Macaca mulatta: one gene and its partners. The main gene of each other region encodes a partner of the protein of the gene in region 2 in a complex. Links are inferred from orthologs where the notes say so. Each region holds a gene or a part of one and is shown on either strand. Other genes may lie near its edges. The genes, in order: NKAP, CIR1 and DNTTIP1.

What was found.
Region 1: CIR1 (region 2) and NKAP share a complex: the UniProt entries of both Homo sapiens proteins name them as parts of the notch corepressor complex. The link is inferred for Macaca mulatta from reciprocal best matches to the Homo sapiens genes CIRSR and NKAP.
Region 3: CIR1 (region 2) and DNTTIP1 share a complex: the UniProt entries of both Homo sapiens proteins name them as parts of the histone deacetylase complex. The link is inferred for Macaca mulatta from reciprocal best matches to the Homo sapiens genes CIRSR and DNTTIP1.

The regions. Positions count from the first base shown.
Region 1 is NC_133426.1:126,415,135-126,425,623, forward strand, and holds part of NKAP (NF-kappa-B-activating protein), read right to left. Parts: intron 9,068-10,489; coding exon 8,997-9,067; intron 8,812-8,996; coding exon 8,671-8,811; intron 6,930-8,670; coding exon 6,866-6,929; intron 4,694-6,865; coding exon 4,584-4,693; intron 4,487-4,583; coding exon 4,411-4,486; intron 2,647-4,410; coding exon 2,497-2,646; intron 1-2,496. UniProt on the Homo sapiens protein: Acts as a transcriptional repressor. Plays a role as a transcriptional corepressor of the Notch-mediated signaling required for T-cell development. Also involved in the TNF and IL-1 induced NF-kappa-B activation.
Region 2 is NC_133417.1:79,287,842-79,298,990, reverse strand, and holds the start of CIR1 (corepressor interacting with RBPJ 1), read left to right. Parts: upstream 1-1,998; 5' UTR 1,999-2,056; coding exon 2,057-2,128; intron 2,129-9,934; coding exon 9,935-10,029; intron 10,030-11,149. UniProt on the Homo sapiens protein: May modulate splice site selection during alternative splicing of pre-mRNAs. Regulates transcription and acts as corepressor for RBPJ. Recruits RBPJ to the Sin3-histone deacetylase complex (HDAC). Required for RBPJ-mediated repression of transcription.
Region 3 is NC_133415.1:98,583,540-98,594,028, forward strand, and holds part of DNTTIP1 (deoxynucleotidyltransferase terminal-interacting protein 1), read left to right. Parts: intron 1-650; coding exon of another isoform or gene 651-749; intron 750-6,355; coding exon 6,356-6,424; intron 6,425-6,686; coding exon 6,687-6,743; intron 6,744-7,282; coding exon 7,283-7,341; intron 7,342-8,629; coding exon 8,630-8,675; intron 8,676-10,489. UniProt on the Homo sapiens protein: Increases DNTT terminal deoxynucleotidyltransferase activity (in vitro). Also acts as a transcriptional regulator, binding to the consensus sequence 5'-GNTGCATG-3' following an AT-tract.

The DNA of each region.
Region 1 (10,489 bases), on a different chromosome or scaffold from region 2:
GCTAATTTTTGTATTTTTAGTAGAGACGAGGTTTCACCACGTTGGCCAGGCTGGTCTTGAAATCCTGACCTCAGGTGATCCACCCGCCGCAGCTTCCCAAAGTGCTGGGATTACAGGCGTGAGCCACTGCGCCCAGCCTGAATTTTATTCCATTGAACAATTCAGTTGTTCTCCCATGCTTTCTAAAGTGCTGTGAGCTTCATAATAAATCCTCCTATCTTGTAGGGGAAATCTTACCTTCCTGCTCTTCTTTTTCAGGAGTGACTTGGCTATTCTTGTCCTTTTAGTCTAACATATAAATTTTAGAACTGGCTTATTAAGTTTCATGAAAAACTGTGTTGTGATTTTGATTGGGACTGTATTCAATATAAAGATCAATTTGGGAAGAACTGACAACTTTACAATATTGATTTCCTATCCATGAACCTGGTATCTCTCCAGTTATTTAAGTTTTCTTTAATCTTACCTTCTTGCTCTTCTTCTTCAGAAGTGACCTGGCTATTCTTGTCCTTTTAGTGTAATATATACATTTTAGAACCAGCTGAATAAGTCTCATGAAAAACTATGTTGTGATTTTGATTGGAACTGTTGAATAGACAGATTCTTAAAGTCTTACATTTTTCTCCATAGAACCTGGGGCATCTTTTGTTAAGATTTATTCTTAAGTCCTTCATATTCTGACACTGTTATAAACTTTCTAGGTTTCTGCTGTTGGTAAATAGAAATGAAATTCATTTTTATTGGAACTGTATTGAATATACAATCTCTTAATAATGTTTTATAGTTTTCCTCACAGAGTGTTGGGCATCTTTTGTTAAGATTTATTCTGAAGTCCTTCATATTCTCTGATACTATTACAAATGTTGTTTTCTTCTTATTTAGTTACATTTTCTAGTTGTCTGTTGCTGGTAAATAGAAATGCAATGGATTTTTGTGTATTAACCTTATATCCAACCATTTGTTAAACACTCCTCTTATTTATAATTTATCTGGAGATTCTTTGGGATTTTCTATGTAAACAATCAAATCATTCACAATGTCATTCACAAAAAAATGACATTTTATTTTTTGAGGTGGAGTTTCACTCTTGTCACCCAGGCTGGAGTGCAATGGCATGATCTTGGCTCACTGCAACTGCCTCCTGGATTCAAGTGATTCTCCTGCCTCAGCCTCCTGAGTAGCTGGGACTACAGGCGTCCGCCACCATGCCCAGCTAATTTTTGTATTTTTGGTAAAGACGGGGTTTCACCATGTTGGCCAGGCTGGTCTTGAATTCCTGACCTCAGGTGATCCACCCAACTATGCCTCCCAAAGTGCTGGGATTACAGGCGTGAGCCACCGCACCTGGATAAAAAATGATATTGTTATATTGTCCTTTCCAATCCTTATTATATTATTATTATTATTATTGTTTTTTCAGGCTGAGTCTTGCTCTCCAGGCTGGCATGCAGTGGTGTGATCTTGGTTCATTGCCTTCTGGGTTCAAGCGATTCTCCTGCTTCAGCCTCCTGAGCAGCTGGGATTACAGCTGCGTACCACCACGTCTGGCTAATTTTTGTGTTTTTAGTAGAGATGGGTTTCACCATGTTGCCCAGGCTAGTCTTGAACTCCTGGGCTCAAGTGATCTGCCTGCCTTGGCCTCCCAAAGTGCTGGGATTACAGGCATGAGCCACTGTGCCCGGCCTTCCTTTCCAATCCTTGTGTCTCTAATTTCTTTTTCTTGCCTTACTGCATGGGTCCTCCAATGTAATACTTCAAATATTGGTCCTCAGAATTACAAGATTCTGGAGGTGCTTCAGGGTTTCTGCAAATATTTGCCTTCAATATCATTTAAAAATAGTTATCTACTTTAAAAAGTTTATCAAGTTTTAAAGAATCCAAAATTCAATTTGATCTAAATACTCCTGCCCTATTAGCTCATTCTCCTGGTTCTTCCTGGAACTTTTCCCTTTCCTAATTTTATATTTGTTTCCCCATGCTGAATCCAGTGTCTTTTTAAAATTTATATATTTATTCATTTATTTATTAGCCAGGACATGTTCTCAGCTGACCAATGTCTTTTATCATCTTTTTCTGTTATTCAGTCTCAGAAATCTGGGCCCATAAAGAACTGGAGACAAACTTGTAACCAGGAAACACTGTCTTGCGAAAATATTTCCCTAATTGCCACATTCCTCACGGGACAGTGATAAATAGCTGAATTTAACTATATCCTCCAGTGGATAAAATATCTGTACCCAAATACCAACTAGGAAAGGACATTAGAAAGACTGATTCTTTGAAGTCAGAGATATAGCTGAGTTTGAGGCTGAGTTGCATATATACTTGGAATTGCAGAAAACCATGTTATACTAACAAAACTAATATCAAACCAATATTTATACTCTACTTTTAATAAGAAACAGTCACTTAATGAGAATCAATTACGAAAATATAATTCTAGTAGTAAAAAAGAAGATCTAGTCATGGAAACTGAGCTTAATGCCAATAACATACCTGCTACCACTCATTACATAACCTGAGCATTCAAATGATGCAATTTCTTCACTTGTCAAGCCAATTTCACCTCTTCGTGGGATACGTTTTCCAGCTTTTACATATTCAGCCATAGCTGCGCCTTCACCAGGTAACAGAGCATGGCCATAGCTACAAAGTAATTCAGAATTCAGAAAACGTCCATTAAATCATCTTAATATTAAAAACTCATAATCTAAAGAGAGCACCAAAAAACCCCACATTTTCTCTCAGACAAGAGTAGGAGTAACAATGCTCAGCAGTAGTGCGCTAGGAAGCTCAATGTGAATTGCTTTATCCTAATTAGTGTATTAAATATTGCATTGCACTATGACCTATACAACTAACCCAGAAATGCAGAAATATTTTGAAAAAAAGAACTGATGTGAGTATAGATTCACAGTTTACAATTATGGATTAATTTATCCCTACAGGTATTGTCATTACTGGTTCTGGCTCCAGCTGATTCCCTTTCCCTTTTTCCCTTAAAAAATCCAAAGTATGCCAGGCACAGTGTCTCATGCCTATAATCCGAGCACTTTGGGAGGCCGAGGCCGGCGGATCACCTGAGGTCAGGAGCTCGAGACCAGCCTGGCCAACATGGCGAAACCCCGTCTCTACTAAAAATACAAAATTAGCCGGGCATGGTGGTGCATGCTTGTAGTCCCAGCTACTCAGGAGGCTGAGGCAGGAGAATCACTTGAACCCAGGAGGTGGAGGTTGCAGTGAGCCGAGATCGTGTCACTGCACTCCAGCCTGGGTGACAGAGCGAGACTTTGTCTCAAAAAAAAAAAAAAAAAAAAAAAAAAATCCAAAGTAGGCTGAGTATAGTGACTGATGCCTGTAATCTCAGCATTTTGGGAGGCTGAAGCAGGCAGATCACTTGAGGTCAGGAGTTCGAGACTATCCTGGCCAACATGGTGAAACCCCATCTCTACTAAAAATACAAAAATTAGCCTGGGCGTGGTGGCAGGCGCCTGTAACCCTGGCTACTTGGGAGGCTGAGGCAGGAGAATCACTTGAACCTGGGAGGCGGAGGTTGCAGTGAGCGAAGATCATGCCACTGCACTCCAGTCTGGGCAACAGAGTGAAACTCAATCACGCCACTGTGCTTCAGCCTGGGAGACAGAGTGAGACACCATCTCAAAAAAACAAAACAAAACAAACAAACAAAAAATTCTAGGCCAGGTGTGGTGGCTCACGCCTGTAATCCCAGCACTTTGGGAGGCTGAGGCAGGTGGATCATGAGGTCAGGAATTTGAAACCAGCCTGACCAACATGGTAAAACCTCGTCTCTACTGAAAATACAAAAAAATTAGCCGGGTGTGGTGGCGCATGCCTGTAATCCCAGTTGCTCAGGAGGCTGAGGCAGGAGAATCGCTTGAACCTGGGAGGCAGGGGTTACAGCGAGACAAGATCACGCCACTAAACTCCAGCCTGGGCGACAGAGCGAGACTCCGTCTCAAAAAAAGAAAAAAAAAATTCTGCTGGTAAAAAAAAAAATAAGAGAAAAAAAGGAATAAAAAATTCTGTGAGGATCAAAGAGAAATAGAAATCACACCTACTTGTGGAGGGGAAGTATTGGGAATCAGCATATGCATCTCCTTTTGAAAAGTGCTTCGAAGGATAGTAAGGATTTTAACAGGAAGAAACTGGGGATAAGGAAGAGAACAAAGGGCAGGGAAAAGAAGGGAAGGCATACTGGATGAAGAAATAAGCTGAACACTGCATAAAAGTTGCAAAGTACACATTAAGCATAGGGAATATTTAGTATGTCAAGCTCAGCCAGAACCCGAAGTAGATATAAGGGAACAGAGTCAGATAAGCTTGGCAAGGTGAGTTAGGCCCAGACTTTTTGGAAGGTACTTTAGATATTATAAACACACTGCTACTTACTTCAAAGGTTTATCATCTTGAGAGGTAAGTGTTTTTGGAGCCTCTGGGCCAATTAAATCTGAGGGTTCTTCAGCCTCTGCATGAAAGATATTAAGAAACACATTCACATTCTGACTAATTGGTTACTTTAATGTTTCATCTGTTCTGAGTTAAAGTCTATCAGAAGAACCTACTTGTTCGATCCTTCCAGGGATTTTCCAGAAACTCTTCTTGGGATTCTTTAGAGCTTGAATCACTGGACTCTTTTCTGCTCTTCTTAGACTTCTTTTTCTTATATTTCTTCCTATAGGGATTATAATTTGATGCAAATTCACTTAATCTTCCTATGTTAGAGGGCATCTTAATTTTTCTTTTTCTTTCTAAATTTTGAACTGGTAACTATATATCTTAATTTTTCAAGGCAAAGAAAGGTGACAATAAAATGATCTGAGTTCCCAGAGTATTCAAATTTGCAAGATAATTTTACTTAAAAAAATCTGCTTCTAACTTATCCTTGGAAACATAGCAAGACCTCGTCTCTATTAAAAAAAAAAAAAAAAAAAAAGTAGCTGGGTGTGATGGCACACACACCTGTAGTCTAAGCTATTCAGGAGGCTGAGGAGGGAGGATCACTTGAGCCCAGGAGTTCAAGGCTGCAATGAGCTATGATTAGCCACTGCATTCCAGCCTGGGCAACAGAGCGAGACATTGTCTCTAAACAATTTTTAAAAAAACTATTCTTATTTAACCAAATCATCTTTTGCTATAAAAATTATCACTAAAGGAGGCTGGGTGTAGTGTTTCACCCCTGTAATCCCAGCACATTGGGAGGCTGAGGCGGGTAGGTCACTTGAGCCCAGGGGTTAGAAACTAGCCCTGGGCAACATGACAAAACTGTGTCCCTACAAAAAATATAAAAATTAGCCAGGTGTGGTGGCACACGTCTGTAGTCCCAGGTATGGGGAAGGTGGGGTCAGAGGTGGGAGGATGGCTTGATCCTGGAAGGTTGAGGTTATAGTGAGCTGTGATCGTGCCACTGCATTCCAGCCTGGGTGACAGGGTGAGACACGGTCTCAAAAAAAAAAAAAAAAAAAAATTCACTAAAGGGAATAATGAAATACAGTTCTGATGTTGTAGAAAGACAACAGAAATAAAACAGCCTAAAAAGTTCCAACAATTTGAACATTATGAACAATTTTATGTGTAATGGATTAAAATGTCAAATATGTTTAAATCCTTGGGTTCATAAAACTTTTAAAAAATTCAATTCATTATTTGAAAAGTAATAAAACAAAAACAATCAAGCAATTATCCTGCTCTTACTATATAACTATATTTCAGGGTATCTAAATAGTTGATGAGGGTAAGTTTCTCTTAAAGAATTATTTGCCTAATAAACGAAGGATAAAGCTAGGATTACTATCATCATTTTACAACCCCTAATGAAATAATTGATCGAGATAATGACCATCAATGGTTGTTAATATGATAAAAAGAGACAACCAGACATTATTTGCCTATTGACAGTACACAGCACCACCTATGAAGTATTCTTGCCCCAAACTCAAATCTGAACCTTGTCAGGCCTCTAGACCTATCAATCTATTAGAAATACAGAGGACAGAACATGCCAAAAAAACCGTAAGAATACAGTCATTGCAATTTAGGGACATTATTTGGATCCTGATTGGAATAAACTACAGAAAAAACGGCTGAGAATTGAGGAATTATTATTAAATGTTTTAGGCACAATAGTAGCATTCTGGTTATGGGTTGCTTTTTTTTTTTTTTTAAATATAGAGACAGGGTCTAGCTATGTTGCCCAGGCTGGTCTTGAATTCCTGGGCTCAAGCGATCCTCCTGCCTGGCCTCCCAAAGTGCAGGGATTACAGATATGTGCCACTGTGTCTGGCCAGTTTTTTGCTTTGTTTTGTTTTGTTTTGTTTTGTTTTAAAGAATGCCTATCTTTTAGAGAAAGGTACTGAATTGCTTATGGATGGAATGATATCTGAGATTGGTTCCAAAATAAATGATGGATGGCAGATACTGACCATGAGTTGATAATTATTTAGACTGCATGACAGGTGCAGGAGGCATCATTATACTATTTTATGTAATTTTATATACATTTGAAATTTTCTGGCCGGGTGTGGTGGCTCACACCTGTAATCCCAGCACTTTGGGAGGCCAAAGTGGGAGGATCACTTGAGGTCAGGAGTTTGAAACCAGCCTGGCCAACATGGTGAAATCCCATCTCTACTGAAAAACACAAAAATTAGCCGGGCATGGTGGTGGGTGCCTACAATCCCAGCTACTCGGGAGATTGAGACATGAGAATCGCTTGAACCTGGGAGGCAGAGGTTGCAGTGAGCCGAGATCGAACCACTGCACTCCAGCCTGAGCAACAGAGTGAGACTCTGTCTCCAAAAAAAAAAAAAGAAAAGAAATTTTCCATAATAAAACTTAAAAAACTGACGATCTGTGTTTCTTCTTCTTTTCCTTTTTCTTGGCTTTCTTTGCTCTCCTTTTGTTATCTTCATCTGCAAATTAAAGCACATTACAATTAAGAAAAAATTTAACTCTAAAATTGTAGTACTTTTGAGTAGGTAACTACCCTACTGCTGTCGCATTTATTGTTACAAAGAAATTACCTCATTGAAACATTTATTGCTATTTGTCAGGAACTGTAGGAGGTACTGTGAACATAGAAATTAAAGTCACTAGGTATTTGGTGATATAGGGTATTATTATTAATTTTATTGTGTGAGATAGTGTGGTGGCTAAGTAGGAAAATGCCTCTTTGTACGGGACACATACAGAAATATTTAGGGTGAAAGTGTGAGAATATTTGTAATTAACTTTGACTATCTCAGTGAAAAGCCCGTATTTGAAGCAAATATGTAAAAATACTAACAACTGCCAAATCTAGGTGATAAGTATATGGTATTAATTATACTATTCTCTTCGCTTTTCTGAATATTTAAATATTTTCATAATAAAAAGGGAAAGAAAACTATGTGTGTGTTGGAGGAGGGGAGAGAGAATACTTTCCCGGAGCTCAGTCTAATGGAGGAGACAGGTAAAGAGATCAATACAATCTGGAGTGATAGAAGGAAGCTTGGGGAACCTGGACACACAGAGGAGTCTCAAAATCAGACTGATTTGGGGAGGGTGGCTGAGGAATGGTTGATAAGGAAAGGTGACTCTTAAAGTAGTTCTTTGATTACAAAAGTAACGCATGCCCATTGGTGCAATGAGTAAACCAAGCTGGATGGAGGGAGAGACTGGCATTGTAGGCAGAGGGCCTCTCTACCAAGTAACAATTAAGAGAAAGAACACGGAATACTGAGGAGACAGAAAGTAGTTTTCAGATTACAGAGGATGCTGCAAGAGAGTGTAACAGGGTATGTGTGATTAGAGAGAAGTGAGTCAGGGTCTGAACTTCACCCTGAAGGCTATGGAGTGCTATTGAAGGATTTTAAGTAGGTATTTCGTGATATAGGGTATTATTATTAATTTTATTGTATGAGATAGTGTTGTAGTTAGGTGTAAAAAAATGCCTCTTTTTAAGGGATGCATACAGAAATATTTGAAAGTTCTGTCTGCCAGCATTGAGGAAGAGAAGTGACAGGGAGGGCCAGGAAACTTGGGCGATATCAGAGGACGGTGAATCTTTGTGTAATGTGTTAACCTCAGAGGAATCACCTTCTGGTCAATCATCAGACAGGAGAGAGTACAAAAAAGAGACTTTTTGTGATGCACTACCGCAGATAGGGTGCCTTCCACAAATAGGCAGCCAGCATGAAGTAGGCACTTTATGGCATACCTTTTTGAAAACTGTACAGAGGTGCTCACTGGGCACGAGAATTAAACAAAAGAGCCCTTCCACTGGGCTGATGCAGCCCTGTAAGGCTTACTTTGGTACAGCCTAACCCCCTGACTTGGTCTGGTGCCATGTGCCTTGTAAAACTTTGCACAACCAATCCCAATATGGAGTCAGATTGCTTAGGTTTGAATCCAAACTGTGTGACCTTAGGGATAGTACTTGTAACCTGCTCTGTCTCCTTTTCTTCATCTATAAGATGTACCCTACAGTTATTGTATGGATTAAATGGCAATAATGAATATAAAGTGCTTATTGGGGTACCTGGCACAAGGTTAGCAAGTGTTCAAAAAATCTTCAGTATTATTATTGTTTCTAGGAACCTTCTTCTAAAATAAGTTTTAAGAAGTAAAACTAGTTTTGAAGCAAGGCTTACAGAATGCTCTTGGCTTTCTTACCACTGGAGTCTGTTTCAGAATCAGAGTCACTGTCGCTATCTTCAGAATACTTCTTATGTTTTCTTTTCGATGATTTTTTCTTTCTCCTTTTCTTGGACCTTTCTTTTGAATGGCTAGACTTCTTCTTCTTCTTTTTTTCTTCTAAGAAAATACAAATAAAAAAGTTATATTCTAAAAAAGTATTTCTGAACATCAAAAGAAACAGACGATGGGCAATTTGAGTAAAAGCAAAGTCTAATGTTCAACTATTTACAAACTGATTTTTTAAAATTTCTCAATAAAATAGCTCTGTATTTAAAAAATACCTTTTTTTTTTTTTTTAATACCTTCTGAAGTGGAAGCTGAAGTAGTGCTTTTCTTTGGCTCTTCATCCTCCACTGGTGTATGTTCATCAGAACTGAATTTAAATAAAATGGTTATAAGAATTAGGAAAGTGACGAGATATAGACCATGGAGCATAAAAATATGAACTCCAAATTTTTCAATAACAGCATTGATTGTCCAAGAACCATTAAAAGCAAGCGTTGGAGATCCTAAGGCAGAACTTGGGAATCAAAAAAAAACAAAACAACAACAAAGCAAGCACTGAATTACTTTCATAAACGTGCAGTTCAAGGGTCTACCATCTTTGTAAAAATAAAATAACTTATCATCTGCATAACACTTTAGAGTTTACAGAGTGCTATTTAAACAAAGCAGCATGGAGGATTTATATTTTCATAAGAAACTACAGGGAAAAAGTAGAGAAACAGGAACCATAGGAAAGATTAAAGAAACAGGATATAAGAAGGCTGAAGAAAGACTTTATAATTTTATTTTAATCATGTAAAAGACAAATGGTAAAGCAGTAACTGTTCTGTCTCCTCAGAACAAAAACCTAACAAACTACAGTCTAAAGAGATTTTGTTCTGTTGCAGAGAATTCTGAAAATGAGTATTATTTAAATTCTACAATAGTTTAGAAAAGGAGTTTCCACATCATATAATATTTTCCTCTGAAGATTACACTTGGAGTAATTTAAATATCGTCTAGAAAATTATTTTGGCTAGGCGTGGTGGCCCCCGCCTGTAATCCCAGCACTTTGGGAAGCCGAGGTGGGCGGATCATGAGGTCTGGAGTTCAAGACCAGCCTGACCAACATGGTGAAACCCCATCTCTACTAAAAATACAAAAATCAGCCGGGCATGGTGGCGCGCACCTGTAATCCCAGGTACTCGGGAAGCTGAGGCAGGAGGATCACTTGAACCTGGGAGGCGGAGGTTGTGGTGAGCCGAGCCGAGATCGCACCACTGCACTCCAGCCTGGGTGACAGAGTGAGACTGTGTCTCAAAAAAAAAAAAAGAAAGAAAGAAAACTATTTTTAGGGTTCCTTCCAACTGTAATTCAATGCATTCAGGTTCAAGCATTTTCTTTTTTTTTTCCCTCTTAAATAGAGATGGGGTCTCGTTATTTGCCCAGGCTGGTCTTAAACTCCTGGGCTCAAGGAATCCACCTGCCTTGGCCTCCCAAAGTGCCGTGATTACAGATGTGAGCCACTGCACCTGGCCTCTTCAAGCATTTTCTAAAGGTATCTGTAAGAAAAAGTTTCAGATAATAATGCTTTATTATTCAGTCACAAATTACAGGTTTACCTGTCAAACACACATTGTCTCAACTCATCCTAAAGTTGGCACAGAAAGAGAGAGGGAAGAAGAAACATATGAGTAGCATCAAAGAGAAAAGAAATAAGCAAAAAGAAAAAGCATTAAGCCTGCAGACAGTATTGGATATAGGAATATTAACCAAACAAAACCATACTGGTATATTCATTTTAAAAAAT
Region 2 (11,149 bases):
GACAATGAGATCCTTGAGGGCTGGGAGTATGTCTTACTAATCTTTGTATTCTCATTGCTGGAACTTGTCTTTTGGAAAAAAATCTTATGTGCCCATGCTTCCTCAAGGGAAGGAAGAAGGGGTCTTATTTGAGCTGGGAAATAATACACACAGATTATAATTCTGATGAGACTGAAATTTTGAAACAGACTCATTGATTCAGACAAAAATATGTCAATATAATTTCAAATTGTTGGCATTTCTAGAAGAAAGTTCACATATTTAATTTATAAATCGCAATTATATACTTTAATATCTAGGTTACCTCTTCAGTTGTAATTTGGAAAATCTTAGATCTTCACTTATAATAGAACACCTAAAGATCCTTATTTCGCTGCCAGAATGGACACATTGTTTTACAGAGTTTCCTTCTTTCCTTTAATAATGACAAAACCTTAGAATGGCTTTACACAGGCAGATGCTAGCAATTTAAAAACAAAATTTAAATATAATAAATGTTTCCTTAAAAAGAAAACAAAATGAGTAAAGAAAAACTTCAGCCTGAAACTCCTAAGGGTTTTCCTGTTCTCCTAGTGAGAAGTCTGATGTCTTGATGGCTTCTGTTATTTTCTTTCTGTGTTTCAATCCTTATGTCCTGGATCTCCTTCTATTTGTGTTTTATAGTTAGTTCCATCACTATATAATTTTGGCAGACTATTTAATCTCTCTCTTCCCTATGCCTTCTGCCTCACCAGTAAAATAAAAAAGACACTGTTTGATGGGCTGTTAGAACTTAATAAGGCAACATGTAAAGTGTTTTGCACAGTGCATAGAACATACTAGATATTCACGTGAAAGCTGTTGTTGTTATTTGGTAAGAGAGAAAATTTCTCATAAAGTCTTATTCTTTTTTTTTTTTTTTCCCTGACAGTTTAACTCTTGTTGCCCAGGCTGAGTGCAATGGTGCAATCTCGGCTCACTGCAACCTCCGCCTCCCGGGTTCAAGTGATTCTCCTGCTTCAGCCTCCCGAGTAGCTCAGATTACAGGGGCGCGTGCCACCACACCCGGCTAATTTAGAGTAGAGACGGGTTTTCACCACGTTGGCCAGGCTGGTCTACGAACTCCTGACGTCAGGTGATCCACCCACCTCGGCCTCCCAAAGTGCTGGGATTACAGGCGTGAGCTACCGCGCCCGGCGTAAATTTATTCTTAACATTACCCTGATAGAGAGCTTGGTTGGTGGGTCACCTGCTGCAGAAGCAGCCACGTCCACTCAAAAACCTGGAGTCCCAAGGTCCATCAAGCTGCAATAGGTAATCTGAGCTGCCTAACTGGGGTGGTAGGGAAAGCTAAGGAAACTTGCCGCCTGGTTAGAATGGCACCTAGCCCACTGAGGAGGTGAAGCCTTGAGAGATTTTACTAACTCCTAACGTGTATTCGTCATTCAGTAAGTCTTTATTGAACGTCTTTCGGCGCCAGCACCGTACAGCTGGGGCAAGGGCCTCCGTTCTTGCAAAGCTGTCTCATTCTATTTCACGCGCTCTTAGTTCAGCGGGCGCTTTCAGAAACATATCGTTGGATTCTCGCAAACATACTACAGTTAGGGCAGGAATTATTATCTCCATAACAGAGATGAGAAAAACAGTGCAGAAAAGTTTTTGCAGCTCGAGTCAGAGTTCACAGAAAGTAATGGGCTCGAGCTTCAAGCACCTTTGGTCGAAGGGCCGCCGCGGTCCACCCCGCACCCCGGCCCTGGGCGCTCAAATCGCAGCCAGCGCAGCTGGGCTCTGGAGCCCCTCGGTTAAGCAGTACCGCCCCACAGTTGGGTCTTCCCGGTTTCTGTCTCAACTATGCACGCCCCTCCCCCGTGCACGCCCCTCACCTGGCCTCCAAACTACCCGAAGTGACAGGTGGACGGAGGGAGGATTGGCCAGTGTAGGCATCAATTGCCGGAAGCTGTTACCTTTGACCTCGGAAGTTCCCCCTGCCGCTGGAAAAGCAGTTCCGGTTAGGAGACTGAGTTTGTTTACGTTACTTACAGATCTAGGTGCCGCTTTCCCTAGCTCCAGGTCCAAGATGGGGAAATCCTTCGCCAACTTCATGTGTAAGAAAGACTTTCATCCTGCCTCCAAATCCAACATCAAAAAAGTGAGTAAAGAGACCCGGGGAGGGATCAGGCCCACGGAGACTGCCTTCCCTGAGGTGCTGGAAGTGAAAGTGGTGATGTCTCTGAGGTCCGTAGGACAGCCCCGCTTCTCTAGGCCTAAAGCCCCGTAGTCTCGCCTTTCTCTGCTGAGCAGCTCGCTGACGCAGGGGATCCTCAGCGTTTATTCTGCAACAGCGAGGAGACCGGCGGCCTAGAGAATCTTTGTCGCCCGGAATGTAAATCCATAATATGTGAAGACTAATGTCAAAATTCCTCAGTACTTCCCTCAGCTGATTCTGGTTTTTTGTCTTTTCGGATCCCAGGGATCACGGCTTCTGAACTCTACTTTTCTGTACAAAGAAGTCTCCACGTTTATTTAAGATAGATCTTTAAAAAATTTACCCAATAATCTAGTGTCTTTTTAATGACCTCGTTGAAGTTTAGTGTTTTACGTAATTACAGGTCTACCAGGTGTAATACCTTGGTGAATATCATAGTAATGAAAAGCAGAAGAGTGAATTAGAAAGAATCGGCTTTCGAGTCAAATCTGGATTCTAGTTATTCGAGCAGTCACTTTTAGCCTTAAGACCTTGCACAAAATATTTGTAATATCTGACCCTCAGTCTCCTAATCTGTAAATTAAGGGTGATTGGCTTAATTGTGAGGATTAAGTGAAATAGTGGAGATAAAGGATTTGAAACAACGTAGGCATCTATCACTGTTCGCTACAGAGAGGAGGTGCTCAATAAAATGTTGATTGCCCCATGTAGAAAGTTGTGAAAATAACTAAGCTTTTATTTGTTTTTAGAACCAGTTGAGGTGATGAGATATTGCTATATACTCTCACTTCTAGACCAGTGATTCTCAACTTTTTTTCACTGTTACCTTCCTAAGGAGCCTTATTAAACATTTTTTCTTAGTAACTCCCCCATGAAATTTTAATAACGCAGATACACCTTGAAAGCTCTTTGGTAATCATCCAGCCCCATCTCCTTATTTTATAAATGAGGAAACAAATTTGCCAAGAGTTACACAGCTAGTTAAATGTTGTACCAGAACTAGAATCTGGAACACCCGATTAACCTAGTGATTTTTTCCGCCGCACCAGTTTGTGTTTGCGTGGTTGCAACTGTGGGAGGGAGAGGTTTCTTGTATTTGGTTGGCTCAATAACTGTTGACAGCAAACACAGACGTTTCCTTTCTCTGCATACTCAGGGGGTCAGCTATTACTAGTTTTACAAGAATGAAGAGATTAGATGGAATTCAGTTGCTTGCTTAGTTGCTGTTTATATTTAGAGACAAATATACCCGAGAAATCATAATTTTTTACTGGAACTTTTGACATTTAGCGTTATAAAAGTCATTGAATCAGCTTTCTTACAAGAAAAAAGAAATCCACGGAGAATAACTTTTGCAAATCCCCTATGAGAAATTCAGTAAAGCAGTTATAGGCTTAGAACCTACATTCTTCTCATCCGTGTAAAGTGTTAAGTAAAATGTACCAAATACTGTTGGCCTTTGTGATCTCTTTTATACTTTTCCCAGGATAGAGGAGAAGAATGAAATGTTTTTGATTAGCAGACCTTTCTAGATAGTTAATACTTTATGGGGAGAGGGGGTAACCTCTAACATTCTTAATTAACTAAGGATAGAGGAACTATATTAAATGAAGATAAATAGAAAAATGTATTCGGGTAGGAGGAAACTTTTGGAGATGATGGATATGTTTATAGTCTGGATTGTGGTGATGGTTTCTCAGGGATATACTTGTCACCAAACTCAGGTTGTATACATTAAATATGTACAACTTTTTATATGTCATACTCCAGTAAAGTTTGTTTGTTTGTTTTTAAGAAATAGAAGTGGAAGAAACAAAGGAGTTTGATCAAAGAGTGCAAAAGAGTTCCACCATGAAAATTTTAAGGGCCAGGTATGGTGGCTCATACCTATAATCCCAACACTTTGAGAGGCCAGGAATTCAAGACCAGCATGGGCAACAAAGTGAGACCCCCATCTATATTTAAAAAGAAAGAAAGAAAATTCTAATTGTAAAATTAAGCATGTTGGGTTTATTAAAGTCCAGTAGGTTCTTTTTTTCCTTGTTCGTTTTCAGTTTCCCAAGCTTACAAAGAGTCTGGTAGGTTTTAAGGTCTCATTTGTTCACCAGAAATAAGAGTGAATGCTATACATCTGCTGGTCACTCTGTTATGTATTGTTATGCGCTGCCTCAGTCATTTATGTCACAGGATACACTGTTTTAGTTCAGCTGTTCTTTTTTTTTTCTTGATATTGTTAATGAAGGAAGCAGTTAATTTACATTGTGGTCCAAGCTCCTTATTTGTCTTCTTGTGAACTGGCAAACACTTTACAAACCGGCTATTGACAATAGCACCACTGTAAACTCCTTTTTTTGTGAAAGTCTCTCTTCCCTTAGCTGTAGTAACTACTCTCTTCTAGTTTTCCCGCTCTATTAGTAGACTTCTTTTTCCATCAACTTCACTGGATCTTTATTTTTAGCCTGCTCCTAAAATATAAGTGTTCCCCAAAGTTTCATCCTTGGCCCACTTCTTGCTTACTTAGTATCCTTGCCCCAAGCAATCACATCCAACTAGCCCGTTTTAACTAGCCTGTTTACTCATGACTCAGATCTGCAGTCCCAGTTTTCTCTTCTTAACTTTGATGTGGCTCCAGACAGCTATCTAGACATTTACGTCTTGATGTCCTATAGGCACCTCAAACTCAACATATCTGAAATAAAAGGTTTTTTTACCCCAAATCTGCCCTTTTTATACTTGCTATCTCATATGGGTAGAAATATAGATAGTAAAACAATCCTTCATCCTATTACCCAAACCAGAAGCTCAGGATTCATCCCTTTTCCCATCACTCCTTTATCTAGTCAATCACTGAATGCTATTGGTCTTACCTTCCAAATATCTCTTGAATCCGTCTTTCCTCTCTGTCACTACTGCCTGTGTCTTAATTTAGACCCTCATCATTTTTCACCTATATTGTTGCATTTCCTAAGTGGTTCTACTGCCTCCAATCTTGAATCCTCTCAAATCCATTCATTACACAGCCCTCAGAATAGTCATTTTTCATTTTAACAGCTCTGCTGAGATAAATTTACATATCATATAAACACACATGTAAAATGTACAATTTAGTGGTTTTTAAAATATATTCATGGAGTTAAGTAATCATTACCACAAACAATTTTAGAACTTTGTCATCACCCCAAAAAGAAACCCCCGCCGGGCACGGTGGCTCATGCCTGTAATCTCTGCACTTTGGGTGGCTGAGGTGGTTGGATCACCCAAGGTCAGGAATTCGAGACAGTCTGGCCATCATGGTGAAACCTTGTCTCTACTGAAAATACAAAAATTAGCTGGGCATGGTAGCAGGCGCTTGTAATCCCAGCTACTCGGGAGGCTGAGGTAGGAGAATCACATGAACCCGGGAGGCAGAGGTTGCAGTGAGCCAAGATTGCGCTATTATACTCCAGCCTGGGTGACAGAGTGAGACACCGTGTCTCAAAAAATGTAAAGAAACCCCCATACCTGTTAGTCACTCCCATTTCTCCTTAACTCTCCTCCCTCTCTGCAGCCCTAGGCAAGCACTAATCTACTTTCTGTTAGTGGATTTGCCTGTTCTGGAAATTCATTTAAATGGAATCATGCAATCTGTGGTCTTCTGTGACTGGCTACTCTCACCATAATGTTTTTGAAGTTTATACATGGGATGGCATGTATCAGCACTTTGTTCCTTTTTATTGCTAAATAATATTCCATTGTATGGATGTAAGTTATTTTGATAGAATCGTCTTTTTTTAAAGCACAAATCTGATCTCTTTCAGCCCCTTATTAAAGTGTTACAGGATTGAGCCCAAGTAATCTCACTCCATTTTTTTCTCCTTCTCTCCCCTACTATTCTCCCACTTTAGATTGATTGATCGATTATTTGATTGGTTGATTGATTTTGAGATGGAGGCTCACTCTGTTGTCCAGGCTGGAGTGCAGTGACGCAGTCTCAGCTCACTGAAGCCTCCACCTCCCGGGCTCAGGTGATTCTTCTGCCTCAGCTTCCCAAGTAGCTGGGATTGCAAATACACACCACCATGCCTGGCTACTTTTTGTATTTTTACTAGAGATGGGGTTTCACCATGTTGGCCAGGCTGGTCTCGAACTCCTGACTTAAGGTGATCTGCCCACCTCGGCCCAACCTCAGATTTTATACATTAGTAATGTTGAACTACTTAGTTCTATTCTACATCTTTGGGCCTTTGCCTGAGTCGTTCCCTCTGCCAGTAATATCTTGCCCTGTTTTTTTCCTTGGCAATGCCTTGATCCTTTTCAAAACCCTGCCAAATGTGTGTGAAATTACCTGTGTATTGAGTTCTTGCGGCAAAGTTTTAATAGCAAAATATTGGAAATTTCTTAAGTGCCCATTTATACAGTAGGAGGCTACTTAAATAAATTATAAATTATGGTATAATCCCACAATAGAAAAATATGCAACTTTACCACCCAAAAGAAGAAAGCATTTGTTTACTGATCTGTGTTAGTCTTGTATTAGTATTAGTCTGTTCTCATGCTGCTATTACCTGAGACTGGGTAATTTATAAGGAAAGAAGTTTAATTGACTCACAGTTCTGCAGGGCTAGGGATGCCTCAGGAAACTTAAAATCATGGCAGAAGGGGAAGCAAACACATCTTTCTTCACATGGTGTCAGCAAGGAAAAATGCTGAGCAAAAGAGGAAAAGCTCCTTTTCTGATGGTTTTGTCCATCAGATTTCGTGAGAACTCACTCACTATCACAAAAACACCATGGAGGTAACTGCCCCTATGATTCAGGTACCTCTCATTGGGTCCCTGCCATGATACGCGGGGACTATGGGAACTACAATTCAAGATGAGATTTGGGTGGGGACACAGCCAAACCGTATCATTCCACCCCAGCCCCTTCCAGATCTCATATCCTCACATTTCAAAACACAATCATGCCCTTCCAACAGTCCACCAAAATCTTAACTCATTCCAGCATTAACTCAAAAGTCTAAGTCCAAAGTCTCATGTAAGACAAGGCAAGTCTCTTCCACCTGTGAGCCTGTAAAATCAAAAGCAAGTTAGTGACTTCCTGGATACAACAGGAATACAGGCATTGGGTAAATACACTCATTCCCAATGGGACAATTTGGACAAAACAAAGGTGCTACAGGCCCCATGCCAGTCCAAAATCCAATAGGGCAGTCATTAAACCTTAAAGTTCCAAAAGTATCTCCTTTGACTTCATGTCTCATATCCAGGGTGCGCTGATGCAATAGCTAGGCTCCCACAGCCTTGGGCAGCTCTGCCCCTGTGGCTTTGCAGGGTATAGCCCTGCTCCTGGATGCTTTCATGGGCTGGTGTTGAGTGTCTGTGGCTTTTCCAGGTACATGGTGCAAGTTGGTGGATCTACTATACTGGGGTCTGGAGGACAGTGGCCCTCTTCTCACAGCTCCACTAGATAGTACCTCACTAGGGACTCTGTGTGAGGGCTTCGACCCCACATTTCCCTTCCCCACTGCCCTAGTAGAGGTTCTCCATGAGGGTTCCACCCCTGCAGCAAACATCTGCCTAGACATCCAGGTGTTTCCATACATCTTCTGAAATCTAGGCAGAGGTTACCAAACCTCAATTCTTGCCTTCTGCGCACCTGCAGGTCCAACATCACATGGAAGCTGCCAAGGTTTGGGGCTTGCATTCTCTGAAGCAATGGCCATAGCTGGAGTGGCTGGAATGCAGGGCACAAGTCCAAAGGCTGTACACAGCAGGTGGGAGGCTGGACTCAGCCCAGGAAACCACTTTTTTCTTTCTCCTAGGCCTCCAGGCCTGTGATGGGAGGGGCTGCCGTGAAGGTCTCTGACATACCCTGGAGACATTTTCCCTTGTCTTGGTGATTAACATTCAGCTTCTCATTATTTATGCAAATTTCTGCAGTCGGCTTGAATTTCTCCCCAGAAAATAGGGTTTTCTTTTCTGTTGTGTTGTCAGGCTGCAGAATTTCCAGAATTTTATGCTGTGCTTTCTCTTGAATGCCTTACTGCTTAGAAGTTTCTTCTACTGGATGCCATAAATCATCTCTCTCAAGTTCAAAGTTCCACAGATCTGTGGGGCAGGGGCAAAATGCCACCAGTTTCTTTGCATAGCAAGAGTGACTTTTACTCCACTTCTGAAAAGGTTTCCCATCTCCATCTGAGACCACCTCATCCTGGACTTCATTGTCCGTATCACTATCAGCATTTTGGTTAAAGCCATTCAACAAGTCCCTAGGAAGTTCCATACTTTCCCACATCTTCCTGTTTTCTGAGCCCTCCAATTCTCTAGGAAATTCCAAAGTTTCCCACATTTTCCTGTTCCAACCTCTGTCTGTTACCCAATTCTAAAGTCGCTTCCATATTTTCAGGTATCCTTTTAGCAGCACTCCACTCTACTATACCAATTTACTGTATTAGTCTATTCTTACCGCTGCTGTGAAGAAATAACCAAGACTGAGTAATTTATAAAGGAAAGAGGTTTAATTGACTCATGGTTCTTCAGGGCTGGGGAGGCCTCAGGAAACTTACATTCATGGCAGAAGGGGAAGCAAACATGTCCGTCTTCACATGGTAGCAGTGAGGAGAAGTGCTAAGCAAGGGGAAAAACCCCTTATAAAACCATCAGACCTCGTGAGAACTCACTTACTATCATGAGAACAACATGGAGTGTAACCGCCCCCATTATTCAATTACATCCCACCGAGTCCCTCCCATGACACATGGGGATTATGGGAACTACGATTCAAGATGAGATTTGGGTGGTGACACAGCCAAACAATACCAGATCTCCATGGTATATAATTTTATTTCATACATATTTTGTGTGCGTGTGTGTGTTCGCGTAAAGTATGTTACCATTTATATAAGAAGAATGTTGTATATGTTCTTTTGCATATACATATATTAGAACATCTCGGAAGGATATGTAAGAAATGTGTAACATTAACTACCTATGAATATAGTTACGTAATTTAAACTATAAATACAGCTTTTAAAAACCAAAACTTGCCCAGTCCACTGTGACTTTCGCCTGTAATCCCAGCACTTGGGGAGGCTGAGGCGGGCAGATTGCCTGACGTCAGGAGTTCAAGACCAGCCTGGCCAACATAGCGAAACCCCTTCTCTACTAAAAATACAAAAAAATTAGTTTGGTGTGGTGGTGGGCTCCTGTAATCCCAGCTACCTCTGAGGCTGAGACAGGAAAATCACTTGAACCTGGGAAGCGGAGGTTGCAGTTAGCCGAGATTGTGCCATTGCACTCCAGCCTGGGTGATAGCCAGACTCCGTCTCAAAAATAAAAAGAACTCGTATCAAGGCACTTCCAGTTTTTCAGGTGTTAATTTGTAATGATGTGATTACAGCCCAATTGGATTATGTTATAAACTTTCAGCCAAGCTTATCCAGCTCTTGGCCTGTGGGTGGCATGTGGCCCAGGACAGCTTTGAATGCCGCCCAACACAAATTTGTAAACTTTCTTAAAACATTATGAGATTTTTTTGCCCTCTTTTTTTTTTTTTAGCTCATTGGCTATCGTTAGTGTATTTTGTGTGGCCCAAGACAATTCTTCTTCCACTGTGTATTGGTGTGTTTTCTGTGGCCCAGGGAAGCCAAAAGATTGGGCACTCCTGCTTTAAGCAATTGCATTTTATATTTTATTATACAAGAAAAGCAAACTTTGTTTAACAATTTAAATCCAACAATTTAATTTGCATTTTTACTTCACTAATCTAGGTATGGATGGCAGAACAGAAAATATCATATGATAAGAAGAAACAAGAAGAATTGATGCAGCAATATCTTAAAGAACAAGAATCATATGATAATAGGTAAGAAATTCTGTTATGCCAGTATATCTAGAATTATCAATTTCATGGGAATAATTTCCTACTGAATGATATATTAAGTCAGCTTTTTGGGATCAAATACCCAACTATAGGATTCTTTTCTTTCCCTGAGGGCTATCTCTTTTACTCTCATACCTGTAGATGGCCACTTTTTCCGGCTTTACCCATAATTCATGTAAAATATAGATTCATGTGACTCATATATAGTCTTTGAGCAAGTCTCAAATTAGGCAAAGCTTAGAAGAACAATCATGTCTACACTTGAACTGCTGAGACCTCTTACAAACTTATTTCTTTAACACACTCAAATGAAAAGATATGCAGGACACTTTCAAGAGGAAAAGTAAAGTGACTTTATTTGACATGCCTGTCATTGTTCTGTTAAAAGCTGTATCGTGGCTAGGGTTCTTAATTGGTGTCTTCCAACATGGTACCTGCCTTTAGCTATTGTGTTATATATGCAGATTTAACACTGAAACTTGTTTCTCTTGGTTAATCAAGCAACTGAATAGTGGTGTTTTGGTAAATTGTCCATGAAGTTCAGTTTTCAATCAAAATATGGAATTTAGCAAAGTAATACTAAACTATTAATACTTTTTAAAATATAATATATTGAGAGTAAAGTTAAAGAAATAAAAGTTAAATAGCTTTCTCGCTAATTTTGTTTAATCTTATTAACTTTTATTGAGTACCTATTCCATGCATGGCAATAAGTGGTATTATAGGTACCTATAAAAGTGTGTGAAGTGTAGTTTCTCTCTACCCTTAAGAAACCCTAGTAAGAGATACATACATATAGTTCAAGGCCAAATATAATAACTGATATATTAAAAGCATACACTGCTTTTGAAAATACAGCATGTTAGTATAGGAAAGAATAATTCCATTTAGGATAATGGAAGACTTTATGGACGAGGTGACATTTAAGCTGAAATCTGAAGAATGATAAGGATTTAGATAGGTGGTTCTCAACTGAGCATCATTTTTTGCACACACCCCTCACCCCCCCAACCCTGCCCAGGGAACATGTGGCAATGTTTGGAGACATTGTTTTGATAATGTTTGATTGTCACAACTGTGGACTGGGCTGCTATCAACATCT
Region 3 (10,489 bases), on a different chromosome or scaffold from region 2:
TCTGGCCTACCCTGGCCTATTCACTTCAGACACAGGCATTCTTTTTTCCTTCTAAAGAAGTAACGTATGTACATTATAAAAATCAAAAGGATATAGATAAGCCAAGAGAAGAAAACAGTCACCCACAATATCACCTGTTACTTCAGCGTATATCCCTGGAATTCTTTTGTCTCTGTGTTTGCTTGTGCTGTGTTACATAAATAAGCTCACACTATACCAAACTGTTTTACAACCTCCTTCCTTCACTTTGAGGTATATCATGAATACCTTTACCTGTCAAAACTATATTCTCTTACATCACCTTTATTGTGATTTTTTAATATTTGCCTAGCATTTCATGGTGTGGATATGCCATAATTTATTTAAGCTACACTTAGACATTTGGGTTATTCTTTGATTTTTTGTACTGTTTACACATCAATCTTTTGGGCACCTCCAGGATTATATCCTTCAGAGGGGGAATAAAGGGAGGAGGTCGAGCCTGAAATGTGAATCTATAAATCTGGCCGATCCCAACCTTGCTTATAATCACTTTTCCTTTCTGTATGAGGCTAGGATAAAAGCTTGTCTTGCTTGTCTTGTATTCAGTTTCCTTCAGGTTGATGCCCATTAACAGGACTCTGACCTTGTCCTCTGTTGTGCTCCCCTAGTTCTTCCAGAAGGCAGCATTGAACGTGCGAGACAATGTTGGGGAAGAGGTGGACACAGAGCAGCTGATCCAGGAAGCCTGTCGGAGCTGCCTGGAGCAGGTGAGACCAAGGGGGACAAGAGATGCAGGCACAAGGTTTAGCTCTCGAGCCTCTGATAAGAAATGTGATCCTAAGCCGGGCGTGGTGGCTCACACATGTAATCCCAGCACTTTGGGAGGCCACGGTGGGCAGATCACTCAAGGCCAGGAGTTTGAGACCAGCTTAGGCAACATGGCGAAACCCCATCTCTACAAACAATACGAAAATTAGCTGGGCATGGTGGCACACGCCTATAATCCTGGCTGCTTGGGAGCCATAGGCACAAGAATTGCTTGAACCCGGGAGACAGAGGTTGCAGTGAGCCGAGATGGCACCACTACACTCCAGCCTGGGTGACAGAGCAAGACTCTGTCTCAAAAAAAAAGAAACGTGATCTTACCATTAGTGGTATTTTGGGGAATGCCCAACAAGCCATATATCTGGATAGGTTGAGGCCATTGCTTACAGGGAAGGGAAGTAGCTGCTATATGTCAGGTACCAGGATAAATGCATTCTTTCTTTTATGTCTCAGAAGAAACTGTGTACAGAAGATATCTTTTTTTGTGTGTTTTTTGTTTTTTTTTTTTTTTTGAGGCGGAGTCTCGCTCTGTCGCCCAGGCTGGAGTGCAGTGGCGCGATCTCGGCTCACTGCAAGCTCCGCCTCCCGGGTTCCCGCCATTCTCCTGCCTCAGCCTCCCGAGTAGCTGGGACTACAGGCGCCGCCACCACGCCCGGCTAATTTTTTTGTATTTTTAGTGGAGACGGGGTTTCATTGTGTTAGCCAGGATGGTCTCGATCTCCTGACCTCGTGATCCGCCCGTCTCGGCCTCCCAAAGTGCTGGGATTACAGGCTTGAGCCACCGCGCCCGGCCTTGTTTTTTGTTTTTTGTTTTTTTTTTTTGAGACGGAGTCTCGCTCTGTCGCCCAGGCTGGAGTGCAGTGGCGCGATCTCGGCTCACTGCAAGCTCCGCCTCCTGGGTTTACGCCATTCTCCTGCCTCAGCCTCCTGAGTAGCTGGGACTACAGGCGCCCGCCACTGCGCCCGGCTAATTTTTTGTATTTTTAGTAGAGACGGGGTTTCACCGTGGTCTCGATCTCCTGACCTTGTGATCCGTCCGCCTCGGCCTCCCAAAGTGCTGGGATTACAGGCGTGAGCCACCGCGCCTGGCCAGAAGATCTCTTTTAATTACTATTTTATAGGTGAAGAAATTGTGGCTTAGCAAACTCATAGAAGCAGAAAGTAGAGTAGCAGTAGCTGGAGGGGAGAAGTGGGGGGATGTTAATCAAAGGGTACAAACTTTTAGTTATAAGACGAACAAGTTCTGGGCAATCTGACGTAGAGCATGATGACTATAGTTTATCTCTATTGTTTACTTCAAATTTGCTAAGACCATAGATCTTAAGTGTCCACACACGCAAAATGGTAGCGGTGGATGTGTTGATTGATTTCATTGTGGTAATCATTTCACTATGTATATATATGTCAGTTCACCACATTGTACACCTTGAATATATACCATTTCTGTTTATCAATTATACATCAATAGAGCTAGAAAAAAATTTTTAAAGGCAAACCAAAAAAAAAAAAAAAAAAGACATGGCTTAAGGCACACAATAATTTGAATAGCTAAGATCGGTCTCACCTCTGCAGGTACTTGGTGGATCAAGTTATCATGGCCCCATTTGGTATCATGGGGATGAGCACCCTGCTGCCTCCCTGCCTCTCTGGTGTGGTCAGGAGGCATGACATCAGGTCTATAAGTGACTGTTCCCAAGATAGAGAACCTGTTTACATGTGTCAGCTGCTGTTATTAGTAGGAATTGTTGCCATCACCCTTTTATAGGGAGACATCAGGAAAGGTCACCAACAGTTGCTGGCTCACTTTCTCACATCCCATTCATTCTGTTCACTTTTTTGTTTTGTTTTATTTTTGCTTCAGTCCCTCAGTCCCCACTACTTCACTGGAACCCCTCTTGTCAGGGTCACTAGTAACCTCTGTGTTGTCAAACCCTCTGGTCCCTAACTGTCCTCAACTTACTCAGCTTCTCAGTGACATTTGTCACAGTGGATCATTTCGTGTTTCTTGGAACACTCCTCTGTTGGCTCGAGTGCCTTGACTTTGCTCCAACTTCATTGCCCACTCTTCTCCCTCACCCCCCGCCTCTAACTGTTGGTGCCTTCCCAAGTTCAGTCCTCAGACCCCTTCTCTTTCATGACTCACTGTTTTCATAGCTGTTTTCATCTAGTCCTGTGGCTTGGAAGCCAATTCAGCTGTTCATAATTCACACAGTTATATCTCAGTCCAGAGCTACATTCACTGTTACCCAGTTCCAATCCGCTCTTCTCACAGCAGCCAGACTTATCTCTGTAAAGATGAATTAGATCATGTCACTCCCCATTTTAAAAACCCTTCAGTGACTTTCCTGTTGCAGGGAGAATAAAGTCTTAATGCCTTACCATGACCCACAGAGCTCACCCTGGACCAGCTTCTGCCTGCTTCTTTAACTTCATTTCTTTTTTTTTTTTTTTTTTTGAGACGGAGTCTCGCTCTGTTGCCCAGGTTGGAGTGCAGTGGCCGGATCTCAGCTCACTGCAAGCTCCGCCTCCCGAGTTTAGGCCATTCTCCTGCCTCAGCCTCCCGAGTAGCTGGGACTACAGGCGCCCACCACCTCGCCCGGCTAGTTTTTTGTGTTTTTTTGGTAGAGACGGGGTTTCACCGGGTTAGCCAGGATGGTCTCGATCTCCTGACCTCGTGATCCGCCCATCTCGGCCTCCCAAAGTGCTGGGATTACAGGCTTGAGCCACCGCGCCCGGCCTCTTTAACTTCATTTCATCTCACCGCTCTTTTATTGACTATACTCTGGCCGTTCTGAACTCCTTTCTGCTCCTCCAGCACAAGCTTGGGCCATTTCATTTGCTGTTATTAGTACCTGGAGTACTCTACCCTTAACTCTATAAAGCTGGCTCCTTCTTTCCTTCAGATCTTAGTTTAAATATCAGAGAGGTCTTCCTCTCGCACTCCTACCTCTGCTAAAATCTTGAGCTTTACAAGAGTTGAGGCTGGCCAGGCGCAGGGGCTCACGCCTGTAATCCCAGCACTTTGGGAGGCCGAGGAGGGCAGATCACAAGGTCAGGAGATCGAGACCATCCTGGCTAACATGGTGAAACCCCGTCTCTACCAAAAATACAAAAAATTAGCCAGGCATTGTGGTGGGTGCCTGTAGTCCCAGCTACTCAGGAGGCTGAGGCAGGAGAATGGTGTGAACCCGGGAGGCGGAGGTTGCTGTGAGTCGAGATCGCGCCACTGCACTCCAGCCTGGGCAACAGAGCGAGACTCCGTCTCAAAAAAAAAAAAAGAGTTGAGGCCTAATCTTGTTCACCACTGTATTCCCAGCCCTGGAATATGACTGTTGGTATGTGTACAGAGTTTGCTGAATTATTGAATTAATGAAGGAACAAACAAACGATAAATGAACAAATAAGCTTCCTGCTCTAATAGAACTTAACAGCCTACTTAAGCAGACAGGTGTGAATTAGATTACCACACAAATGTATGAGACTTGTTCACCCTTCACTGAAAAGGGACAAAGTTTGGAGAAGAACATGAATCCAGTTATGGATTAGCAGCTTTGAGCCATCCAAGCATAGACATGGGGCAGACTATTTGATATACAAGTCTAGAGCTCAAAGGATAACCTTTTGTCTACAGCTGAATTATGGAGTCGTGGTTTATAGATACTAATTGAAGCTGTGAGAATAGGTGAGAGCAGATAGAATATGTAATGAGAGAGGATAGAGGGAAAAGAACCAGATTGAGGAGGAAAAACCAACAAAGAAAGCTAAGATAAAGAGTGGCCAGAGAAGTAGGAGGAACACAGGAAAGTGTGACCACAGGAGCCTGTAGAAAAGAGTGTTTCCAGAAGGGGGAGCCCTCAACACTCAAATGCCACTGGCAGAGGTCGGGTGAACCCAATTCTCCACCTGCTACAAGGTTCTTGCTCATGCACCATCTCCCCTCTGCCCGTTCCATCCTTTTCTTCCTCAAATGAGCCAGTTGTTTCCACCTTCAAGCTTCTGCACTCCTCCCTGCTGCTGAAACACTTCTCCCCGGCTTTTGTTATAGCCTCCTTCACATCTCAACTCAGAGGCCACCTTCTGAGCAAGGCCTTCGCTGGCCATTCTCTCAAAGTAGCCCTCCCCTTCTGGTGTTCTCTGTCACATCTGCCTGGGCTTTTTTTCTTTTTTTCTCACAGCATCTATCATGATCCACAGTTACCTTGTTTGTTTCTGTGCTCATTATCGAGATCACCCACAAACTATAAGCTCCACAAGAGCTTGTCCTAGTTACTGCTGTGTCCACAGCACTTAGGTCCTAGGTACTCAATATTTGTTAAAAGAAAAACAGCAGGCCAGGCACACTGGCTCACGCCTATAATCCCAGCACTTTGGGAGGCTGAGGCGGGCAGATCACTAGGTCAAAAGTTTGAGACCAGCCTGGCCAACATGATAAAACCCCATCTCTACTAAAATTACAAAAAAAGAAAAAAATTAACTGGGTGTGGTGGCACGCCTGTAATTTACTCCCAGCTACCCCGGAGGCTGAGGCAGGAGAACTGGTTGAACCTGGGAGGTAGAGATTGCAGTGAGCCGAGATCGCACCACTGCACTCCAGCCTGGGCGACAGAGCAAGACTCCATCTCAAAAAAGAAAAAAGAAAAACAGCAGCTTAATGAGGAATATGTGTTATGCTAATGTATTTAGTTTGAAAAAATATATAGTATGTATTTACATGGGAAAAGCAAGGAAGAATTTACATTGAAATATTAAAAGTAGTTTATGTAGGCCGGGCGCGGTGGCTCAAGCCTGTAATCCCAGCACTTTGGGAGGCCGAGACGTGCGGATCATGAGGTCAGGAGATCGAGACCATCCTGGCTAACACAGTGAAACCCCATCTCTACTAAAAATACAAAAAATTAGCCGGGCGTGGTAGCAGCGCCTGTAGTCCCAGCTACTCGGGAGGCTGAGGCAGGAGAATGGCAGGAACCCGGGAGGCGGAGCTTGCAGTGAGCCGAGATCGCGCCACTGCACTCCAGCCTGGGCGACAGAGCGAGACTCCGCCTCAAAAAAAAAAAAAAAAAAGTAGTTTATGTAATAAGATTCCAGGTTTTTCTTACTTTGCTTTTTTACATTTTTAAATTTTTTCAGCTATGATAATTCAATATTTTTTAAAAAATAGGTATCTATTTCTATGCATATAAATATATACATATGTGGCCGGGCGCAGTGGCTCATGCCTGTAATTGCAGCACTTTGGGAGGCCAAGGCAGGTGGATCACCTGAGGTCAAGAGTTCAAGACCAGCCTGTCCAACATGGTGAAATCCCATCTCTTCTAAAAATACAAAAATTAGCTGGGTATGGTGGCACACCCCTGTAGTCCCAGCTACTTTGGAGGCTAAGGCATCCTAAGAGACGGAGGTTGCAGTGAGCCAAGATGGTGCTGCTGCACTCCAGCCTGGGCAACAGAGTGAGACTCTGTCTCCAAAAATTAAAAAAAAAGAGGAAGTAGGTGGGGTATGCTTACCCACCAAAATAGTGACTGGTAACACTTGGTCTTTTTCCCTTCAGGCTAAACTGCTATTTTCAGATGGAGAAAAAGTAATACCCAGATTGACCCATGAGCTTCCAGGAATAAAGGTCAGAGTCACTGTGTTTTGGGGTATTGGAGGGGGAGGTCCTTCAGGCTGGGAGGTAAATGAAATATGTGGGCCCCGGGAGGTTTCATGTACCTTCCATTTGTAGGACCAGGTCCAAACAGCATCATGCTGGATGGGCTTCTTTGGCCTGGGTCAGGGCGGGGCTGGAGAGCAATAGTCCAGGGCTGTGTCTTCTGCAACTCCAGAGGACTTGCAGCTCCCAGGCATTGGCCTTCCACTGACTCCCTTCGCTTTTCTTTTAGCGTGGCCGGCAGGCAGAAGAAGAATGTGCCCTTCGAGGAAGCCCCCTTCCTAAAAAGGTAAACCATTTCCTTGTTTTGTTTTCTGGCTGAAAAAAGGCTCATCAGGCCAGTTGTGGGAGCTCACACCTGTAATCCCAACACTTTGGGCGGCCAAGCCGGGAGGATCACTTGAGCTCAGGAGTTTTGAGACCAGTCTGGGTAACATAGTGAGACCCTGTCTCTACAATTAAAAAAAAAAAAAAATTAGCCTGGCATGCTGGCACGTTTCTATTGTCCTAGCTACATGAGAGGCTGCAGTGGGAGGATCACTGGAGCCCAGGAGTTCAAGGCTGTGGCAAGTTATGACCATGCCACTGCACTCCAGGCTGAGTAACAGAGTAAGACCCTATCTCTCAAAAAAGGCTCTTCACTCCATGAGGTACTGGGCTTCCTCAAAGCCCTTTTGAGCCTTCCTAGGCATGAGAGGCAGTTTTTCTCCCTGTCCCCATCAAATGTCATTTGATCTCTTTGGAAAACCATCTCTACCAAGTGACCCCAGACCTGCCAATGGGGCATGACCACAGGGTCAGACCTCTGACAGCTGTTTTTTGTGGCAGAGGAAAGGACGGCCTCCTGGACACATCCTGTCAAGCGACCGGGCAGCCGCCGGCATGGTGTGAGTAGGAACCAACAGTGTGGTGATAGCATAGGGGAGCAGATGGAGAGAGGGGCCCTAAAGGAAAAGAGGCCAGGGTTCTGTGCCCGTCAAAATCAGATCCATTAGCTTAAGTCATCATGGAGGGAGGGGAGTTACCCTGGTTTGAGGGGTGAGGAAGAAGGGTAGTGAGGAGGAAATTGTTTTACCCCCTGAACAATTTGGCCCAGCTTGATTGAACACCAGAGGTTTGTCACTGTTAGTATATATTGAATGCTTATGACTGGTCTAAATACGTTACATACTTTACCTTTTAATCTTTATAGCCACCCTCTAAAGAAGGTATCATTAATTTTTCAGATACAGAACAGACTCAGAGAATTACTTGCCTAATGTCATATAGTTACCATTACCTCCAAATTGGTCATTTTCATATATATATATATATATATTTTTTTTTAGACTTAATTTTTTTTAGAGCAGTTTTAGGTTCACAGCAAAATTGAGAGGAAGGTACAGACTTATCCCATATGTTCCCTGCCCCTACACATGCACAGCCTCCTCCATTATCAACATCAGGCACCAGAGTGGTAAATTTGTTACATTCGATGAGCCTGCTTTGACTCGTCTTGATCCTCAGAGTGCATAGTTTCCATGAGGGTTCACTCTTGGTGTTGTACCTGAACTTAGAGAAATGCATAGTGACAGGCATCCACCATTCTAATATCACACTGAGTGCTTTCATTGCCCTAAAAATCCTCTGTGCTCTGCCTATTCATCCTTCCTTCCCCCCTCAACCCACCCCCCAGCCCCACTTTTTAAAAAAATTCTGAAGCAGCAGAATCTTTTTTAAACAAAACGTTACATGGAAGCCCAGTATTTAAATCAAATAAAGCCACACTGGTTTGGGTCAGAGGCGTGGGGTTAGTTTGAAACAACTGGTTTAGTAGATGGGATAGTATTAACTGTCATACCTTAGATGTGTCTCCTACGCAAAGCAGTTTTATTCCTCACAAACACAAGATAGGTAGGGCAGTTGCTGTTTTTGTCTCTTTTGACAGATGAGAAAACTGCCACTCAGAGGTTCTTGGAGTTGCTCATGCCACTATGTAAGAGCAGAGCTAGTGCTAGAATGGCTTCTAGTCCAGTGCTTTTTTTCTGTTTGTTCCTCCTCTAATGTGTCACCACGAAGGAGGATACCCAGGCTAAAGTGAGAGTGTGTGAGGAACTCCTACCACCACCAGCAAGCCAGTATTCAGTTCTAGGTCTCACCTTGGAGAATTCACCTTTATTCTTTCCTTCCAAGCAGATGGAAACCAAAATCCTGTGAACCAATTCGCCGGGAAGGTCCTAAGGTATGATTATATGAGCATGGCAGAGACCACTATCCCAGGAGCTAGTCCCACTATCTCTGGGATCCACCATGGGGGAAAGGGGCAGGGGGCGAAGGATGCATGTCCACCATTCCAGAGCCATCTTCCCCCTCTCCACCTCCAGCCACACTGGCCTCAGAGAGGATCCTGTGTGGGAATTGGAGTTAGAGGCAAAACAAAGAGAAGGCTTGACTCTTTGCTGAAGCCTTCTTGTAGGAGCTAGTGGTCACTAATACTGACTCAATACTTAGTATGTAACAGGCAATGCCCTAAATCTTTTGTGTAGACTGTCTCATTTAATCTTTATAACAAACTCATGAGATCGATTCTGTGAACCATTCTATGAATAAGGGGTTTCCTTTTCTGCCAACTTCCCTGTGGGCATAAATTACTTTATTCAGTTGTCTTATACACTTAATGCACTTAAGACTTGCCCAAAGTCTGGCCGGGCGCGGTGGCTCAAGCCTGTAATTCCAGCACTTTGGGAGGCCGAGGCGGGAGGATCACGAGGTCAGGAGATCGAGACCATCCTGGTTAACATGGAAACCCCGTCTCTGCTAAAAAATACAAAAAACTAGCCGGGCGAGGTGGCGGGCGCCTGTAGTCCCAGCTACTCCGGAGGCTGAGGCAGGAGAATGGCGTGAACCCAGGAGGCGGAGCTTGCAATGAGCCGAGATCCGGCCACTGCACTCCAGCCCGGGCGACAGAGCGAGACTCCGTCTCAAAAAAAAAAAAAAAAGACTTGCCCAAAGTCACATAACTCGTAAGTGATCGAGCCAAGTCTCAAACCCAGGACCCGCTGACACCAGAGTCTCTGCTCTCAACCATTAGCCTCTGTTGCCTCCCTTTCTCTCCTGAGTTCTTCCTCATCAGTGACTTATATAAATGGATGTTCCCCAGAATTCTCTCCTTGGCCCACTTCTCCATCTAAAGTAACTCTCTGGATAATCTAAATCATATACTCTTATGGTTTCAGGGACCACCATGTTCTAAAACTCCCATACTTCTTTGTCCATCCCATGCCTCTCTTTCTACTTTAAAACTTATATATCCTACTATCTGGTTGACCACTCTGCTGGAAGTTCCATAGTCATTTCAGACTCAGCATATCCAAACATGAAATCAGAATCTCCTCACAGCCCTTCTTTACATTGTTTATCTTAATCATCTTTGCCTCCTCCTCTTCCTCACCTCCCTACATCCAGTCAAGTCCTGGACAATTCTCCCTCTTAAATATATTGCAGTTCCTATTTCCTTCTCTTCATCCTTACTGCTGCCCTAGCTCAGGCCCTTAGCATCTTTCCAACTGCTTTATCACAGCGGCCTCTAAACTGCTCTCCCTGCCTGTAGTCTTGCTCCTTCAAATCCATTATCCACATTGCTAGAAGACTAACCTATCTTTAAAGTAAATCTCTCACTCCCTGTTCAGAGGCCTTCAGCAATTCCCCATTGCCTACAGAAGATATAAAATGCAGTCCCCTGAACATAACCTCCCAGGACCTCCTACTCCTCTGTGTTTCTCTCTCCAGCCCCATCAGTTGCCACTCCCTAATTTGTACTCTGTTAGCAGCACAGAATTACTAGCAGTTTCTCCAGCATGCCAGGCTGCCTCTCACCTGTCTTTGCTCATGCTGCCCCCTGTCTGGAATGCCCTTGTTCCTCACCCACTTTACCCCAACTTGTGCTCACCCTTTCAGAATTAACTTGGGAAATGCCTCTCTAAGGAAGCCTTCCTGGCTGTACCCTCCCCTCGGCAGCCCTCAGACCCTGCACTCACCTGTGTCATTGCCTCATCG